Cricetulus griseus: one gene and its partner. The protein of the gene in region 1 interacts with the protein of each later gene in a pairwise test. Links are inferred from orthologs where the notes say so. Each region holds a gene or a part of one and is shown on either strand. Other genes may lie near its edges.

Region 1 (3,812 bases):
GCTATGGACACTCAATCTCCCTGTCTTCAGTTCCTGAGTGCTGAGATTTCAGATGTGGACCATCACAGCAAACTATCTGTGAACTAGACACAGATAGTTGTGAGCTACCATGTGGGTGCTGAGCATCAAGCCCAAGTCCTCTGAAAGAGCCACCTCTAGTGCCACCCCCACCCCACCCCACCGCTTTTCTGTACCTTTTTAAAATGGGGAAAAATTTATTTCTTGGTGTCCATAATATTTCCTAAGCTGTTGAGGGTTTCTTGCTTGAGTGGAACAGGAAGCCCCAGTACTTTTTGGGTCCTTGAAGCAGGATGTCATCTGTACCTCTGACATTTTTCTAAGCTACATTTGAAATGTTGCTGTGAGTTGGAGGCTTTCCAACAGACCTACTCTGCTCTGTGCTTCTTCTCAGGCTCGAATGGAAGTAGATGCTGATGGAAATGGTGCTAAGATATTTGCATATGCCTTCGACAAAAACCGAGGAAGGGGCTCGGGCAGGCTTCTGCATGAGCTGCTATGGTGGGTATTTTCCAGCTAATAAATATCCCCACCTAATCTCCATGTGAGCTCTGATATGCACAATATGCCTAAATGCTAGAGAGCATTCTAGCCAGTGGAGTCAGATTCAACCTTATCTTCCCTAAGTCTGGGAGTTTATTTTGTGACCTTTACCACTAACCCAAAGGAGTGACTAATGTACATACCACTTTAAACAACTGGTGGGATTCTGATGAGACAAGATCTATGGAAGAAGGGGTTCTGCTTTTGATCCCTCTGATAAGTCAGGCTACATCCTAAGAAAATGAACTATTGATCCTGGGTGTATAAGGTGGTTTGAAATGTTGAGACCTTCCTGAAGGGGAACTTGTCTCTAGATTGTTTTGGTGGTTTGGGGGGTTCTATCCATTACCCTCTGAGCAAAGCCCTTAAATACAGGGACAGAATCATCAGCCTGGTCCCCTGTTTGTGTTTAGCTTCTTCTTGGTATACCCCTTTGGCAGGGTAAGGGCCCAGTTCAGACTACATGATTGACATTTCTGTGTGGTTGAACATTCATGCTCAAGTAGAAGTGCTTGAGGGTCTTTCCCTCAAGACAAAAATTCTTTCCCTAGGGAACGACATAGGGGAGGTGTGGCTCCCGGGTTTCAGGTGGTACATCTCAATTCTGTGACTGTGGACAATCGCCTGGACAACCTGCAATTGGTACCATGGGGCTGGCGACCCAAAGCTGAAGAGACCTCCAGCAAACAAAGGTGGGTTTTTCCTGGCCAACACCTGGCACCTAAATAGCCATCTCATGTTTCTGTGTTCCTATTTTAGGCTTTTATTATGAGTGTTTTGGGACCTTGATATCCTACCTGCTATTGTCAGTTTTGGGGGGAGCATTTTTCATGGGAGAGGGAAGAATTTTCTGGAGGTGGGGAATCTCCCTGTCTGCCTTGGAACTCAGTATGTTGATCAGGCAGATAGACTCCTGCCTCTGTGCTAGGTTTAAAGTTGTATATATACCCCCATGCTTAGCTAGAAGAATTTTTATGACTAATTTTTGGGATTGATGGGGTGTGGTTTTTGTGTAATTGGCTCTAGGAACGTTTTAGCTAATGTGATGGAATGAGACCATACCCCAAGACCACATACAAGGGTCTCTGTCGTGTTCCTTTGCTGAACAGCTTTCCCTGAGCAATGGTTTAAAGGAAGTAGTTCGACAGTGGCTTAGGGCCTGGGCCTCTTGGTTTCCCAGTTCCCTGTGGTCTGAAAACAACACTGCACAAGCTTTCTATTCTGGAGATCATGTTCTAGCTGGCCCTGATCGCCACAGTGAACTTCATGAAGCTTTGGAGAAAAGCTGAGGGACCAGCAAGAAATGGTTAGGGGAATTTGAGCCCATAGTCCCAAGCCACACAGGTATCAATGACCTGTTCTTAGGCCTCCCCTGAGGGCTTCTGGGAGTTTTCTATACATGTCCTTAAGTCTCAGCAACCTTCCTTGGCACTGACCACCTCAACAGATGCTAGTAGCGTTGATGAGGTCGGTGTTGTAGATAGTGGGCAGATCTTTGTAGCGATTGTTTTCAGGTGATGCTAGAGCTCCATGTACTGTAGATAGAAGCTGTGGGAGGACCCAGCCTTCTACACTTGATGTTTAGTGTCAGTATCCAGGTTCTTAGAAGACAGTTGCCAAACTGCTGATCTACTCTTGCAGAGTGTGAAGACAACCCTGTGAAGGCTCAAACTTCTAATCTGCTTGGTTTCTTTCCTACTCTGATACCAGAGGTTTGAGTCTTCAGTTTTGTCTTACCTCTCCCTTCCTACCCCTCTTTTTTTTTTTTTTTTTTTTTTTTGAGGTTCATTTAGCTTACGCTGGTTTCAACTTGCTATGTAGCTGGGAAGTTGAGACTGGCCTTGAATTTACTAATAGTAGGGTCCCCCCAGGGTGGTATGACTATCCTGTGGTTGAGTGGGGTCTTTAATCTTTTGAATATACTTTATGATCATGAGATATAACAACTACAGTTAAAAACCTCCATTTGGGAAAGGGCAGTTACAGTCCTGGGGGTAGAGGGCTGAGGTTTGTGGTCAGATGGCCCATTGGCCCTTTGCTCAGCCAGTTTTGGGCTAAGTTTGGTTGAAGCTGAGCCCTTCAGTAGGTAGTACCTCTTGCTGGTGGAGACAGGCTCAGATTGGACCAGGACCCAAGAAGCATATCTGGTATGTGTATAAGCAGGTGTAGAGGGAAAGAATGGATTCATGTGTTTCAGGGAGGGAAATGCTTGAGGCTGTGGGCACATGGAGTCAGAGGAGGATGTTCAGTGTCCTTGTTTGTTTGTGAGTGAGAAGGGGTTCAGTTAAATGGCACCTGTGCAGAAGTCAGCCATGCCTCTCCAAAGCCCCATACAGAGTCTGCTTTACTCACCTATGGTCAGCAGCAGTCATATTAGGACTGTCCTGGTTAGGTTTCTGTTAATATGATAAAATACCATGACCAAAAGCAACTTGGAAGAAATGGTTTATTTGGTTTACCCTTCATGTCACAATCCATCATTGAGGTAATTAAGGACAGAAATTCAAGCAGCAATCTGGAAGCAGAACTAAAGTAGAGACTACTTGGGAGCATATTATTTATTGGCTTTCTCTCCATAGCTTGCTTACCTTGTTTTCTTACATGGCCTAGGCCAACTTGCCTAAGAGTGGTACTACCCACAGTGGTTTGGGCCCTTCTATATTAATCATCATTCAAGAAAATACCCACACAAGCTGGGCCTTGGTGGCAGGGACAGGAAGCAAAGGCAGGCGGATCTCTTTGAGTTCGAGGCCAGCCTGGTCTCCAGAGCGAGTGCCAGGATAGGCTCCAAAGCTACACAGAGAAACACTGTCTCGGGGAAAAAAAGGAAAGAAAGGAAAATGCCCACACAAACATGCCTACAGGCCAGTCTGATAGAGGTAATTCCTCCTTGAAGCTCCAAGTGACTAGTTTGTATCAAGTTGGCAGAAACTAACCAGCATAATTGATCCTTTGCCAATTTAGCACATTCTCCCTTCATTTGTCTCCAAAATCTAATGTTGATAAACTAATACAAAACCAAAAGCCAACATATAAATAACTTGATGTCAGACATGTGAGTCTCACTCCTAATCTCTGGGTTCCACAGGGTTTGGGCAGCTCTGCACCACTTCTAGCTCTGCCTTCCATGCATGCCACAGCTTATTTTGTAGTCTCATGCTAGGTCTGCTCCACGTTTGTCCTTGGTGCTTATCCCACAGTCCTTGCATTTCCTGGGATTTCCAACTAAGGCTGTGTCTTATTTAGCCAGT
Region 2 (3,912 bases), on another chromosome or scaffold:
GGCATAAATCTGTGTTTTCTAATGGTCTTAGGTGACCCTGTGAAAAAGTCGTTTAACTCCAAAGGGGTGAAGACCCAAAGGTTCAGAACTGCTTCCATAATGTGTATCTGTGAGTACAAAGACCCTGCATACCTCCTATAATAAAGAGTCAGAAGAAAAATTGTAGGAGGTGGTTGTGTTTGGTCATTTATGTGTCTTGTGTTCAGACATGATTATGGAAAAGTCTTTTTATCAACCAGAGTGTAACTTTGTCTGAAATTGGTGTTTTGTGAAATTGTGCTGAACTGGCTGACACCACCACGGCCTCACTATTGGTGCTAGCCTGGCTCCCGGCAACACCACTCTCTTGCTTCAGGCAAGAGAGTGCAAGCCAGCTGCCAGGAACTACTTTTTCATTGCCATACTTGCGGTGGGGGCAGGATAGGCAACCCCCTTTGTCAGAACATGGAGTCCCCTCATTACACTTCTTTCTAATACCTTCCAATAGGTCCACTTTGCTTCTCCAAACCGCCCCCTGTCCATGGCAAACAGGTTTGCTCCCACACTAAAAGAGCCAACTGGACCCAGAAAGAGCAGCTTTGCCCAGATCTTCCGGTTGGTGATCAGGTGGAAACTAGAATGCTGACTTTGGTTTTCCATGCAGCAAACCTCCCTTCCAGACATTAGGACAGGCCGAGGTATCAGCTTCTAAACAAACAAACAAACAAAACCACCTTCTCTGGTCCACAGTGCACTCTGCCTTCTTTCTTCTCTTTTGGGATTCTACCGTAGGTCTCCCGCCAGCTGGGATTCTAAGATCTTCACTAGCCTGTCCGGCTGTATGTTTTCAATCTCCATGTTCCTGCCTAATCGTTCTCCTTTTGTTTTGAGACAGGTAAGACTATGTACCCGAGGCTGGCCTGGAACTCACTTGTCATCCTGCCTCAGCCTGGAGGGCTGGAATTACAGTCACACCTGGCTCAGGTTTCTATTCGCCCTTCTCTGCCTGAAACTGTCTTTATCCCTGGACGCTTCTTTTCACAATCACCTTATCCGTTAAGCCTTCAACCTGGGCGTCCTACTTCCAGTGCCGCTTCCCCTGGGAGCCTTATGGCCTCATTGGAGAACTTTCTTTGGTTTCTGTTGACTGTTCTTCCTAGAGTCTGTCAAGTGCACTGTGGTGGGGTAGGGAAAACCATGGCCAACGTCCAGACCTCTGTACGTGGTTTCTTTCACGCGAGTGAAGCGCTCCGCAAACTGAGACCGTCACGGGCTGAGGTCGTCTCCGTTCACACGCACAAGGAGCAACGGCGCCGGGCACTTTCTCCATCTAGACGTCCCCGAGAACGTCTGTCTGCACGCCAGACCGCCAAGGCACCGGCAGATCGCGCTTGCTCCAGCTCTTGGCCCCGCCCCGGCCCTGGCCCCGGCCCCGCCCCCTGCCCCGGCTTGCCGCGCCTGCGCAGCTGCCCCCGCCGGCTTCCGGGTGGAGCGAGCGCACGATGGGGCGGAGGGTGGACGTCGCGGAGTAGCGGCGGCGAGTGGGCGTGTGCTCCGAGCGGTCGGGCGCCCGCGCTGGAGTCGCGGGGTCTCTGAAAGCCGGTCCGGGACGCGGAGAGAGCCTGCGACTGCCCCCGCGTCCGCTCACTGGCATGTCGGCCGAGGCCTCTGGCCCGGCGGCGGCTGCGGCCGGATGTGTGGAGTCCCCTAAGCCCTCGGGTGTGGAGCCTGGCTCCCCCTCGTACAGTCTGAAGCCCCTGACCCCGAACAGCAAGTATGTGAAGCTGAACGTGGGCGGCTCGCTGCACTACACCACGCTGCGCACCCTCACTGGGCAGGACACCATGCTCAAGGCCATGTTCAGCGGCCGCGTGGAGGTGCTCACAGACGCCGGAGGTATGCGTGCCGCCGGTACACGTGCTGCCCTCCAGCCCCCAGTTCGTTCCCGGTTCCCCGTCCCATCCTATCTTTTTCTTATTCAAAGTCTTCCTCCTTCCCCAGTCCTTTACTTCCAGCAGTAACCTCTGCCCAACACTCCATTGCGGATGATCTTCTCTTCTCCCCTTAGTTCAGAAAGCCTGGGAACCAGCCCTGCTGCAAGCAGCCCCCCTCAGACAACCTTTACCACTTTCTTCCCACTGCCCAGCCTTTTGTTTGCCTTTCTGCCTTAGAACCGCCAACAGGCAGCCTGCAGAACTGAACGATATTGTGTGTCTGTTTCTAACACATGCCCCTGCACTCTCTAGGAATCACCTATAAATGCAGATTGTAGAAGGAGAAGACTGCTTTGGGTTTACAAGGGACCTGAGCGAAGGGTGCAGCTCTCCTTGGCAGGTTAACCTTAACCTTCTTTGAGTGTTGCCTTTAAAATTGGGAAGGTATTAACAAAGATGAAAGCAAACGCTTAGGAGGTGAAGTTCAGATTTCAAATATTGGCGATGAAGAGATCAGTTATTTGATAAGTATTTGTGAAGAGTCAATTAGTGCTAGAGAAGGTTTGGTTAAAGGGATCTGATGAGTCTTACAAAGTTACCACGGGGGTGGGGGTGGGGTGGCCAGGGAGAGCATTGGGTGGGAATGACCAGTAAACCAGAAAATCACATGTAATCATAGAGTAAGTTCTTTGAATAATGTTGTCATTATTTTATTATTGTGGTCAACTAGAGGGTTGAGGTGGACATTTTCACTTAAATGAATTGGTTAAAAATAGCAGAAGGGATTAAGTTTATTGATAGGTAATTCGGTACGAATTTTCCCACTGTAAGCTTGGCTTGTTGGCACATGCCTATAATGCCAGCTCTCAGTCTGGGCTTCATAGTGAGATCCTGCCTTAAAAACAACTGGCTCTAGGCTGGAGAGATGGCTCAGAGGTTAAGAGTACTGGCTGTTCTTCCAGAGGTCCTGAGTTCAAGTTCCAGCAAATAGATGGCAGGTCACAACCATCTTCTATAATGAGATCTGATTCCCTCTTCTGACGAGCAGGCAGAAAACTGTATACATAATAAATAAATAAATCTTAAACAAAAAAAAAACCAAAAACCCAACTGGCTCCGGGCGCTGGTACTGCACACCTTTAATCCCAGCACTCAGAAGGCAGAGGGAGGTGGAACTCTGTGAGTTTGAGGCCAGCCTGGTCTACAGATAGAATCCAGGACACCAAAGGCTTCACAGAGAAACACTGTCTTGAAAAACAAAAACAAAACAAAACAACAACAAAAAGACTTGCCCATGGTGAGAGCCTTTTGACTGTCCAGAAGACTTGGGGAGGGAGTTGTTCTGTGGCAGGTGTGTGGCAGGTGTTCTGTGGCAGGAGATGTTTGAAAGAGTTCTTGGATAAGGCAAAAGTTTGACACAGGTAAGTATTTAGGTTTTCTTTTGGCTTTGGAATTCATTTTCTCAAAACGTATTAGAGTCAATCCTTCCTTTTGCCTTTTCCCATCCCACCAGGTTGGGTGCTGATTGACCGGAGTGGCCGACACTTTGGTACAATCCTTAACTACCTGCGGGATGGGTCAGTCCCACTGCCTGAGAGTACTAGAGAACTCGGGGAGCTGCTGGGTGAAGCTCGGTACTACCTGGTCCAGGGCCTGATTGAAGACTGTCAGCTGGCACTGCAGGTGAGAGTCCCTGTGCTTCCGTTCTTGGGGGAGCTATCCATTAGATAGCTATTACAACAGAAGCTAGAGAGAGATGGTCTAGAGAGCCTGGCTCAGACTGGGCATAACCCCCAGGCTTATGGGATTTGGGGTACTATCCTCCGAGGCACCCCTGCCCCTTGAGGCAGGGCTGCAATACACCTGGTGTCAGGACTGTTCTCATTAGAAAACCCTGCTCTGTGGTTGCAGCTGTTCCTGCCCAGCTCTTACTACCTCTTGAGTCATTAAACACAACCCCTGCTCATCCTCTCCTTTGCTCTGAAGGCTTGAGCCTCAG

Evidence for each region.
Region 2: the proteins of Zmynd19 (region 1) and Kctd13 interact in binary tests that used the Homo sapiens proteins (3 or more experiments, as listed by UniProt). The two-hybrid records come from large-scale screens. The link is inferred for Cricetulus griseus from reciprocal best matches to the Homo sapiens genes ZMYND19 and KCTD13.

The regions. Positions count from the first base shown.
Region 1 is NC_048599.1:136,305,880-136,309,691, forward strand, and holds part of Zmynd19 (zinc finger MYND domain-containing protein 19), read left to right. Parts: intron 1-412; coding exon 413-519; intron 520-1,112; coding exon 1,113-1,253; intron 1,254-3,812. UniProt on the Homo sapiens protein: May be involved as a regulatory molecule in GPR24/MCH-R1 signaling.
Region 2 is NC_048596.1:73,818,218-73,822,129, reverse strand, and holds the start of Kctd13 (BTB/POZ domain-containing adapter for CUL3-mediated RhoA degradation protein 1), read left to right. Parts: upstream 1-1,454; 5' UTR 1,455-1,631; coding exon 1,632-1,875; intron 1,876-3,426; coding exon 3,427-3,596; intron 3,597-3,912. UniProt on the Homo sapiens protein: Substrate-specific adapter of a BCR (BTB-CUL3-RBX1) E3 ubiquitin-protein ligase complex required for synaptic transmission.